2 linked regions of the Caenorhabditis elegans genome follow. The protein of the gene in region 1 purifies or fractionates together with the protein of each later gene. This does not show direct contact. Each region holds a gene or a part of one and is shown on either strand. Other genes may lie near its edges.

Region 1 (3,155 bases):
AAAAATTTCAGTCAGCGTTTTGATAAATTGTTAACTTTCTAAAAATGTGAAATTTTTTAAAAGCAATTTCGAGCATTGATGCATGAATATAAAAATGCTAAACTACAGTAATCCCTACAGTCCCACTTCAGTAAAAAAGAAACTATTAGTGTCAGATTTTAAAAGTAATCAGAATATTTTTTTGAATAATATTGTTTACCTTCTGAAATTGAACACTCTTTGTGGTTCTAGCTTTGATTGTAGTCATTGGAGACTGATCCTTCTGTGCTGAACCAGCAGCTCTTCTGATCTTCGGAGATTCTGACAACTTCTTCTTCAATCTCTTTTTCTCTTTTTTCTCATCTGATGGACTTTCTTTCCTTTTCCCAACGACTGCCATGGGAGATCTTCCAATCGATGGATCTCTGTTCGTATCTGTGTCGTAAAGTGAACCAGCATCTGCTCCAATTTCGATGCTTTCCCCATTGAGATCTGAAGCATCGGTGTTCTTTCGTTTCTGAGGCATCAAATCGAGAACTTTCTTCTTTCCAGCAGCAAATGTTGCCTGTATTTTGGCTTTTCGTGTGCTCGCAGATCGTTTTCTGTCAAGATGTGCTTCTTCATCATCACCTCCGTCTTCTGTTCCAGTGTCAGTACGATTAGAGATCATTGATGAAAGGGAGGCAACCGAACCGGTTTGCTGGAAAAGAAAAGTTGGTAGACAAAAACTAATTTAGATTATTGCTTGGATTGTTGATTGAAATGTTTTCTGTCTTCTTACAAAAGGCATACGAATGAAATATTCAGAAAACAACTATTTCGAGTTGTGCAATGATGAATTTTGATAAATTTGAAAAAAAGGGAAACTTACTGAAGCAATCAACGCCAATCCTTTTGAAGCATCAGCCTGGGTCAATGTTTTATCTTTATCCTCTCTTTTAACAACTCCAAGTAATTGTGGATCCAGATTATGTCCAGCAGATGCACTTCTATTCAAATCTCCAACCAACAACATCTTGATCTCGTCTTCCACAGAATTTTCCATTCCAAAATCTGCAGAACTCGATAAAACGGCATCAATGACTTTTGCATCGAGATGACTTTCCGATTGTGTTCTTCGTAAATCGAAACTTGGCTGGCTGATCAGAAGTTGAGGCACTCGAGCACTTTCAGCACGTTGAACAGAGACAGATGGAGGTTTATCGAATTTGTGAGCGTCTGAAAAATAATATAATATTCTTAAAATCGATATAAAATTATTTTAATTCGAACGGGATTTCTGGTTTGTTCAACAAATGCTGTCTCTGTCTTGCCGATCGAACATCTTACTCTAACTTTACCACATTTAACGCCTGACCTCTACGAACCTTTTTATCAACTTTCTTGATTTTTGAAAATCACCGTCCGGTATCAAACGAAAACCAGAAACAGAGAATTACCATCTAACTTCTTTTTTATATTTGCTTATCAAACTTTTCCATAATTTTTGCTGTTCTTACTGACCTGGCAATCACAATTACTCCCTCCTTCTGTAACGTTGCCTAGTTGCAGTGTAATAATGAAATTGCGCATGGAAACAAGCGACGTAGAGAAAAGCGAAGAAGAGTTTGATACCTATCCCTTTTATTTTTCTGGACAAACGGTTACTCGACATTTTGACTTCCTTATGTCGTAAAGATTACGGTATTTTTGGAGGTGTTAGAAAGTAAGAGGAATTCCAAAATTTCATGTAGCAACCGTATATAAGGGTGTCCAGAGTAACTGGTAATCATTCCATTCCGCCATGGACATCGATTCCAAGATCAAGGCTTACCGCTTCGTCGGCTATGCCGCTCTTACATTCTCTACCGTAGCCGTTCTTTCGGTCTGTATTACTCTTCCAATGGTATACAATTACATTCATCATGCTCGTAAGACCATGCATCATGATATTGTCGAGTGCCGTGCTGAGGCCAAGAAGCTTTGGGGGGACGTCAACAGAGTCCCAGATATGGTGATGGCTCACAACCGTACCGCCCGTCAAGTTGGAAATGGACAATGCGAGGGATGCTGTCTTCCAGGAGCACAAGGACCACCAGGAACCCCAGGACGTGCTGGACGACCAGGAAAGCCAGGAGCACCAGGTCTTAACGGAAATCCAGGACGCCCACCAAAGGAGCCATGTGAGCCAATCACCCCACCACCATGCAAGCCATGCCCAGAAGGACCACCAGGACCAGCCGGACCACCAGGACCACAAGGAAACAAGGGACCACTCGGACCACCAGGACCACCAGGACCAGAAGGACCAAATGGAACTGCAGGAAACAAGGGACCAGCTGGACCACCAGGACCAGGAGGAAAGCCAGGACCAGCTGGACCACCAGGAGAGAATGGACGCAATGGAGAGCCACAACCAGGATCACCAGGAGAGCCAGGACGTCCAGGACAACCAGGATCCCGCGGACCAGCTGGACAACCAGGAAAGGATGGAGCTCAAGGAGGACCAGGAGAGAAGGGAGCCAACGGAGAACCAGGACAACCAGGAAGAGACGGACAACCAGGACGTCCAGGACAGCCAGGACGCGATGGACATCCAGGAGAGAAGGGAGTCTGTCCAAAATACTGTGCTCTCGATGGTGGAGTCTTCTTCGAGGATGGATCCCGTCGTTAAAAACGAGTTTTCTTTTCTCATCTTTTCCATTTTCCTTTTTCATATGCATAACAAAAGCTCGAATTGAAAGTGTTCTTATTTGAATAAAATATTTTCCGTTCGAAAAAATCTCATTTTTTAACTGTTCAACGATCAGAAAACCGGTTTCTCACGGATACCGTAACATGATCGACGGTTACTGATTAAAATGGGAGTTCCACGTAAAGAGGGAACAGTTTGTTCAAAAGAAAAAACATACCTAATCCGAAAATAGAAGAGGCAACAGATTCGGTGTTCGTGTCGATTACAGAAGATTCCAAATTTGACACACTGTGACGACGTCTTGCGGCAAGGGCGGTGGCTGAAAAGTACACGAACTATTATAAATCTTGATGTTTTTAGAAATTTTTGCTTAATCGATGTTCTAATTAATTTAATTATTTATCGTATCCCTTTCGTACTACAGTAATAAATAACTACGTTCGTTTTTCTCGTTTCTGCAAAATTCATGATCTGCACTTGTGATCCCTTTATGTCCCATGTG
Region 2 (6,268 bases), on another chromosome or scaffold:
GGCCGCGAAATTTGAAGATGATTGAAAAAAATAAATAGTGAAAAATGATATCGTTATCAAGAAAACGTAGCATGTGGCGTTTGACCTTCATCATTTGCAGACGCAGGTTTGCTGGTGTAATATCAATGGGAAAATGAAATAGTTTTCACCGATTAAAATTTTAACTGTAATAATAATTATTATTGGCTGATTTCATTAAAACATAGTTCAGAAATAAAAATTCATTTGTCTTTTTAAGATCAGCAACTTTATGATTCATATGATCGAGCGCAACTTGTTATAGACCTATGTATTCATTAATAGTTCCTCCTCTAGGTGCCAATGCTTATTAGGGGTCAAAACGTTGTGACAGTTGTTCAAACAGGAAACAGATCGGATAAAAGTTAGCCAGTGAGGGCCCACAGAACATTCAACTTTCAACTCTCACTACCATGAACACCTTCTTCGTTTTAACAATTGTTTTCTTTGTTTCAAGCGCTGAAATGTGCTCCGACTCGGCTTCAAAGTAAGTTACAGATTATTTATTCAGTTTGAAATTTGAAATTTCATTTTTTTTTCTTCCAGCTGCGCGAACTGGGTTGCCAATGGGTTTTGCACCTCTACATTCTACACTACCGCTCAGAAAACCCAATACTGCGCATCAACCTGCTCTTTGTGCTCTGATTCTTCAGATTCTAGCTCTTCATCGTCCACTGCTTCTACAAGTTCTTCTTCGTCCACAGCTGCAACGTCCAGTGATGATTCTTCTTCATCTTCTTCATCATCTTCCAGCTCCGCGTCTTCAACATCTTCTTCAGACACAACAACAGCTGACAGTTCTTCTACTACATCCTCTGATTCTTCAACAACCTCTTCCAATTCTTCATCATCCACTTCATCCTCAGATTCCACATCTGTCGTATCTTCTACATCTTCCTCAACCACTACCACATGTGTAGATTCTTTTTCCACGTAAGACTTGATTATTTGCCACTTGCAAAATAAAAACCTTCTAGATGTACTTCCTGGGCTGCTAATGGATTTTGCACTTCTTCCTTCTACACTACTGCTATCAAAACTCAGTACTGTGCAGCTACCTGCTCTCTGTGCTCTTCTTCCAGTGACTCTTCTTCGTCGAGCTCTACCGCTTCTACATCATCTAGTTGCACAGATTCAGCTTCATCGTAAGATCAATCAATTCTACTGACTAGCCTAAAACAAGTTGAACTTTCAGATGCTCATCTTGGGCGGCCAACGGCTTCTGCACTAACAGCTTCTACACAGATGCTCAACGTGAACTCTACTGTGCTAAAACTTGCGGATTATGCTAATTTCATCGTTCCTCTTTTATTGTAGTTTGTCTCTAGTAAACTGAATGCATATCAAAACCATGTCTTCATAATATCTGTTGTGTGTTGTTTGAGAACGGGCCATACCGATGAGAGAGTGCACAAAATAAGAGAGTTTTCTCTGCTACATGGTGTGTCCTCCCGCCCGCCCCTCCTCCACGAGAAACACGCCAGCAAACCAATAATGCGCCTGCAGCCACCGACCTGCACCGATCCCTCTTCATTTTTTTGAATTTTAGTCGTCTATTTTCTAGTATTACCTTTAAAAAACAAGGTTTTTATATATTTTTTTTCCAGAAATGCAGAAAGCGGCGCCGCGGCCCATCATCAAACGGAGTTATCTCAACTTGGATGCAATTTTCGGCCATGTCTTCTCAAATTTGACAGGAGAGCCAGTGACTCCAACAAAAGTAAGTTTTTTAGTTTAGAAAACCTTCAAAGTACTAAAAATTTACTTAAGATTGCAACGTTCTACCTTCTTCGCATTCTTTTTCAAACACACTTTGGATTCCGTCACAAACGTGCTTACTACAAACCATTTAGCCCCGCCGAAAAAGAACGGTAAGTAGTTTGGAAAAATTTTAAAAAAAGAAACCAAATTCATGTTTTAGAATCTTCCATTGGCTGTATGCATTGATGACGTCAGTCGTGGAGCTTTCTTATAAGGACTTCAGAATTGTCACTCGACTTGCATTTGATGACGGCCGTGAAGTTTGTAAAAACTTTTATGCAGCGTAAGTCAAACGATTTTCATTTTATACAATTAAAAAAACATTATAATTTATTGTAAACTATTATAAAAACTAGTCAAACAATTCGACAATAAATTAAATGCAATAATGTTTCTTAGCTCGATTTTCTGGAGCATTATAAGCATAATCAATAATACAAAACAATCCGCTGGCATCTCTCCATTCTTTCAGTATGGAGAAAATTGGCGCCGGAATGGCGGATGTTACTCTTAACGTTGAAGATGAGTTCTACACCAACAAGCACCCAAAGGATCCGAAATTGCCAGCAAATGACACTGTACATGAAGCTATGGACTTGGCGCGCGGAGACATTATCCAGTTTTCTTCCAATCACTCGTTTATGTACAGATGGATGAAACGAGTATGATTTTTCAATCGAAAAAATTTGTTTCAGTTTGATTATATTTCAGCTCCTGGCACAATACACCAAGTCAACTCCTTCAGAAGTGTTCCAGATAAATGCAGCCATGAAATCATGGGTTTTGTCTGCTGTTGAATCAAAGTAAGTGACGAAGCTTTGCTAAAAATACCGAAACTTTTGCAGATATCATCCCGAGTTCAAGGGAGAGTATCTTCCACACTTCATCGACTGTTCTGTCAGAGCAAGGGATTGGGTTGCTAAGAGCATTTACTTCATTCAGGTGAGATACTATTTGAAACTAAAACTCCCATGCGGTCGCCGAGCCAGCCTCACGTCGTCACCCTCGCCGCATGTACAGTGAAGCGCAGACCTCCGAACGTGTCGGCCGCTTCCAGCCCACCACCTTTTCACACTACGTTGCGCACACACCATGCTACTCATTTCACGCTGAGCTGCGGAACCCCGAACGTGTCGGCCGCTTTGAATGACTACCTCTCGAACTTCATTTCACACACACAGCGGCGCGCGGCGACGGCGTGAGGCCCGGATTTTGCGCCTCACTCAGCTGGGAGCTCTGTTTGAAACTGACAAAAGAAAAGTAATAATGTTTCCATGTTTTTACAGAAGAACCCACGTTTTGCCTTCCAATATAACGAGATGCTTCACTACACCCGGATCGTACAGAAGCGACACCCGGACGTTGTTGAAGGGTTCCTGCTAGAGGCCATTGTGCAAGTTCAATTGAAAGATAGCTCGTCGGCTATTAAGGCAATGAAATCGTTTTTCGAGTTGTCCATGTTTGAGTAAGTGTTATACCGTTATACCGCCACCGAGGTTTAAGAACAAAAAAAATAATTTTCAGACTAAATGAGAACATGGTGCATGCCGCAAAAACGCATCGATTGGCAGTTCCAACTCAAACCCCGTTGATGTATGCACCGATTCTTCAAGCCAGAATTTGCAGAATATTTGGAGACTAGTAAGATATATCAATAAAGAGTACATAAATATTCTCATTTTCCAGCCAAATGGCTCGTCTCCTGCTCCACGAGAGTCTCCAACAAGCCCAGCTCCGAAATGATGAGATTTGCCATCAAATGGCCAACATCGAAATGCACACTGTCGACATATTGGGATGCAGGGCGCTGCTTGAGGATAACAATGAAAGTGAGCTCGTCTATTATTTTTTGAATCAATAAGAACTAAGACAACAACAAATCAAATTTGCAGAAACCGCTAAGCACATTGAAAATGAACGGCGAGTTCAGAGAAAAGCCTTGCTGCACATAGACGAGTAAGTTGGATTATCTACTAGTATAGAGTCATAAAACTAATTAGTACATTTCAGTCTTCACGGACATACGCGATCCGGGCCTTGCTGTCTAAGTTCTGAAGAAGATTTTGAGCTTGTCGCAGAGATGGACTCATATGGAAAAATGCTCATGTTGATGAAGATCATTGCAGAAGGAAACTATAAGCTGTGAGCATTCAATCAGAGACGTCGCTTTAACTTTCCAAATTTACAGGATCTACGACAGAGTTGCGGAAACCGGAATAACGTGTCCAGTCGGTAATGATCTTGGAGAACGAGGACGAAAAGTGGCTGCTTATGGAGCTGCTCTGATATCTAGTAACATGTAAGTAGCTCGTTGCAAATGGCCTAGAAACCATTCTGAATTTCAGGATTCATAATGGAATGTATCATCAAGCAAAGTGCGCCGCAGAAAACATGCTGGCAAACAATTGCAGAACCGATGAAACAGACCCCTTCCAGGCTCCTTTTCAGGCCGAACCTTGGGTAAGTACAAGTTAGAACTGTGACAAATAATAAATTGGTGCAAAATTTATATGTATCTAATGAAATTCAAGTATGATGTATCAATTTTCAGGCAATTGGTGCGGTAAACCTATCTTATTCACAAGCTGGAGTCGGAAACTACGACGCGGCACTAAGAACTATTGAGGAAATGCGACAAAATTATCCGGAAGAACTTTCTTGGCAGTCCAACCGTCACGTTGTCATTTGTGCAGCTGTCATCAACTTTGAAAGATTCTTATTGAAAAATGACTACAAGGCTTGTGCTTCTGAAGTTTTGAATCTCGCAGCACACTCTGAACTAGAATGCAAGCTTCGGTGAGTTGCAATTGAAAGTATTACCTCATTTAATTTCTATAATTTTTTTAGACAAGCTCTTCTCCTCGCCGCAGCCGGAAAAGAACGGGCAAGTGTTGAAGTGTTGGAGGGATTGAACGTTGTGGACATTCGTGGAAGAATTCGAATTCACATGCAAACAGGATGCATTTACACGGCTAGTCAAGAATTTAGAAAAGCTGCAAGAGAATTTGCAGACGCCTTGAGTCTTGCTGAGAACACCACACTGAAGGACATTGTGCCAATGGTCAAGAGAAGACAAGCAACTATGCTGGTAAGCATTTTATGTAAAGAAAAAATTGCATGAATTTTTTTACGCCATCTTGATATTTCACTGAAGAATCTACAAAGTGGAGCACTGTCGTTAGGGTTTTGAATCCGTAAATTTTGCGCTGCACTCCGAAAATTATTTTTTATTCAGCCTTAAAAATTGTTTGAAGTGAGATGTTTGAAAACATAAGGTATTGTATTTTTTATAGATGTCACCAGATATGTCAGACTATACTCGCTTACTAGTTAGATAAAATAAACGTTTTCTGAGAACATCGCATTTATCAAATGAAAAACAATTTTTAGAATCTAAATTTACAGATGTGCCATGGTCAGTATGTCGAATGTCTGAAACTTTTGAAAGAATGCAATGAAGGCATTGAACAGTTTGGATCATTTACCGAGAAGGCGTGCTACTACATGACAGCGGCCAGATGTCATCGATTGCTAGGGAAAGATCCGCGGATGTGGTTGAAAAAATCCCGTGCCCTGGTCCGCAACGGGCAATGGCCGGCGTTTACCAAGCTCGTCCTCTCCGAAATTGCTGCTCTTCATGACGTCAAAGGACTGATGCCTGATGAAAATCGTCTGTCGCAGATTTGTGAGCAATTTGGTAAACTGACTGCTGATTGTCCCGGCCGATGCGAATGGCTCCTCATCTGATGATGTTTCAAACCAATATTCTTGTACACACTTTTAAAGTGCTTCATTATCCAATCCCAAAGACCCCCGTCTGTTCTTACATTCAACGATCTTGTTTCAAAACTCAAACAGGTTTATGAGCTTCACAGTGTATTTTTACGAGTCTTTCTTGCTCTATTTGATTTTGAATTTATGAACTTTTTGTAAAAAAATTGCTTTTGAAAAATTGGAAAAAAAATTGAAAAGGAATGTTTTATTGCAATTTTTTTGATTTTATTTTATTGCAGATACCATTTGTGCAGTTTGAATGCTTCTTACCAAATGTCAGAAAACATATTTCTGGTAGCTAAAATACATTTACAACTGTAGCAAAAACGTGTTGTGCAAGTTTTTTAATAGCAATGAGATGTCTATTTTTTTTTAAATTAAATTGAATCATTATCGAAAGTGATTAATTATAGGAAATTACGAAGAATAGAAAGGATTACTTTGTTATTGGATGTTTTACATGTTCTCATGTAAATTTATTGCTAGCCAAACTTATTTGTTGTTTTAAAGCGTGACCTCATTGAATCAAACGTTTTTTTAAAGATTAGTAAAAAAATTAAAAATTAACCGGCTACTGAAAACCCCACCCCCGCAAAATTCCTATTTTGGGTGAAAATTCCGTATTTGCAGTGAAACAATGCCAACTGAAAGCATCACTCCAGTTACTCATGACAACTCAAATAGGATATGTGTACATAATGATTAATTTTGCTAA

What was found.
Region 2: the proteins of col-119 (region 1) and gfi-3 purify together in Caenorhabditis elegans (affinity purification with mass spectrometry, with the first as the bait; one large-scale study listed by BioGRID). This does not show direct contact.

The regions. Positions count from the first base shown.
Region 1 is NC_003282.8:8,978,403-8,981,557, reverse strand, and holds col-119 (Nematode cuticle collagen N-terminal domain-containing protein), read left to right. Parts: upstream 1-1,762; coding exon 1,763-2,632; downstream 2,633-3,155. Other genes in the region: pdzd-8 (PDZ Domain containing), read right to left, coding at 200-679, 851-1,197, 2,871-2,972.
Region 2 is NC_003284.9:14,478,947-14,485,214, forward strand, and holds gfi-3 (Protein gfi-3), read left to right. Parts: upstream 1-1,625; 5' UTR 1,626-1,627; coding exon 1,628-1,738; intron 1,739-1,788; coding exon 1,789-1,889; intron 1,890-1,939; coding exon 1,940-2,062; intron 2,063-2,251; coding exon 2,252-2,441; intron 2,442-2,490; coding exon 2,491-2,582; intron 2,583-2,624; coding exon 2,625-2,721; intron 2,722-3,065; coding exon 3,066-3,244; intron 3,245-3,303; coding exon 3,304-3,420; intron 3,421-3,465; coding exon 3,466-3,608; intron 3,609-3,671; coding exon 3,672-3,735; intron 3,736-3,789; coding exon 3,790-3,921; intron 3,922-3,967; coding exon 3,968-4,078; intron 4,079-4,124; coding exon 4,125-4,239; intron 4,240-4,330; coding exon 4,331-4,575; intron 4,576-4,626; coding exon 4,627-4,867; intron 4,868-5,184; coding exon 5,185-5,526; 3' UTR 5,527-5,756; downstream 5,757-6,268. Other genes in the region: M163.11 (ShKT domain-containing protein), read left to right, coding at 432-505, 565-951, 996-1,163, 1,214-1,310. UniProt on the Caenorhabditis elegans protein: Probable component of the anaphase promoting complex/cyclosome (APC/C), a cell cycle-regulated E3 ubiquitin ligase that controls progression through mitosis and the G1 phase of the cell cycle.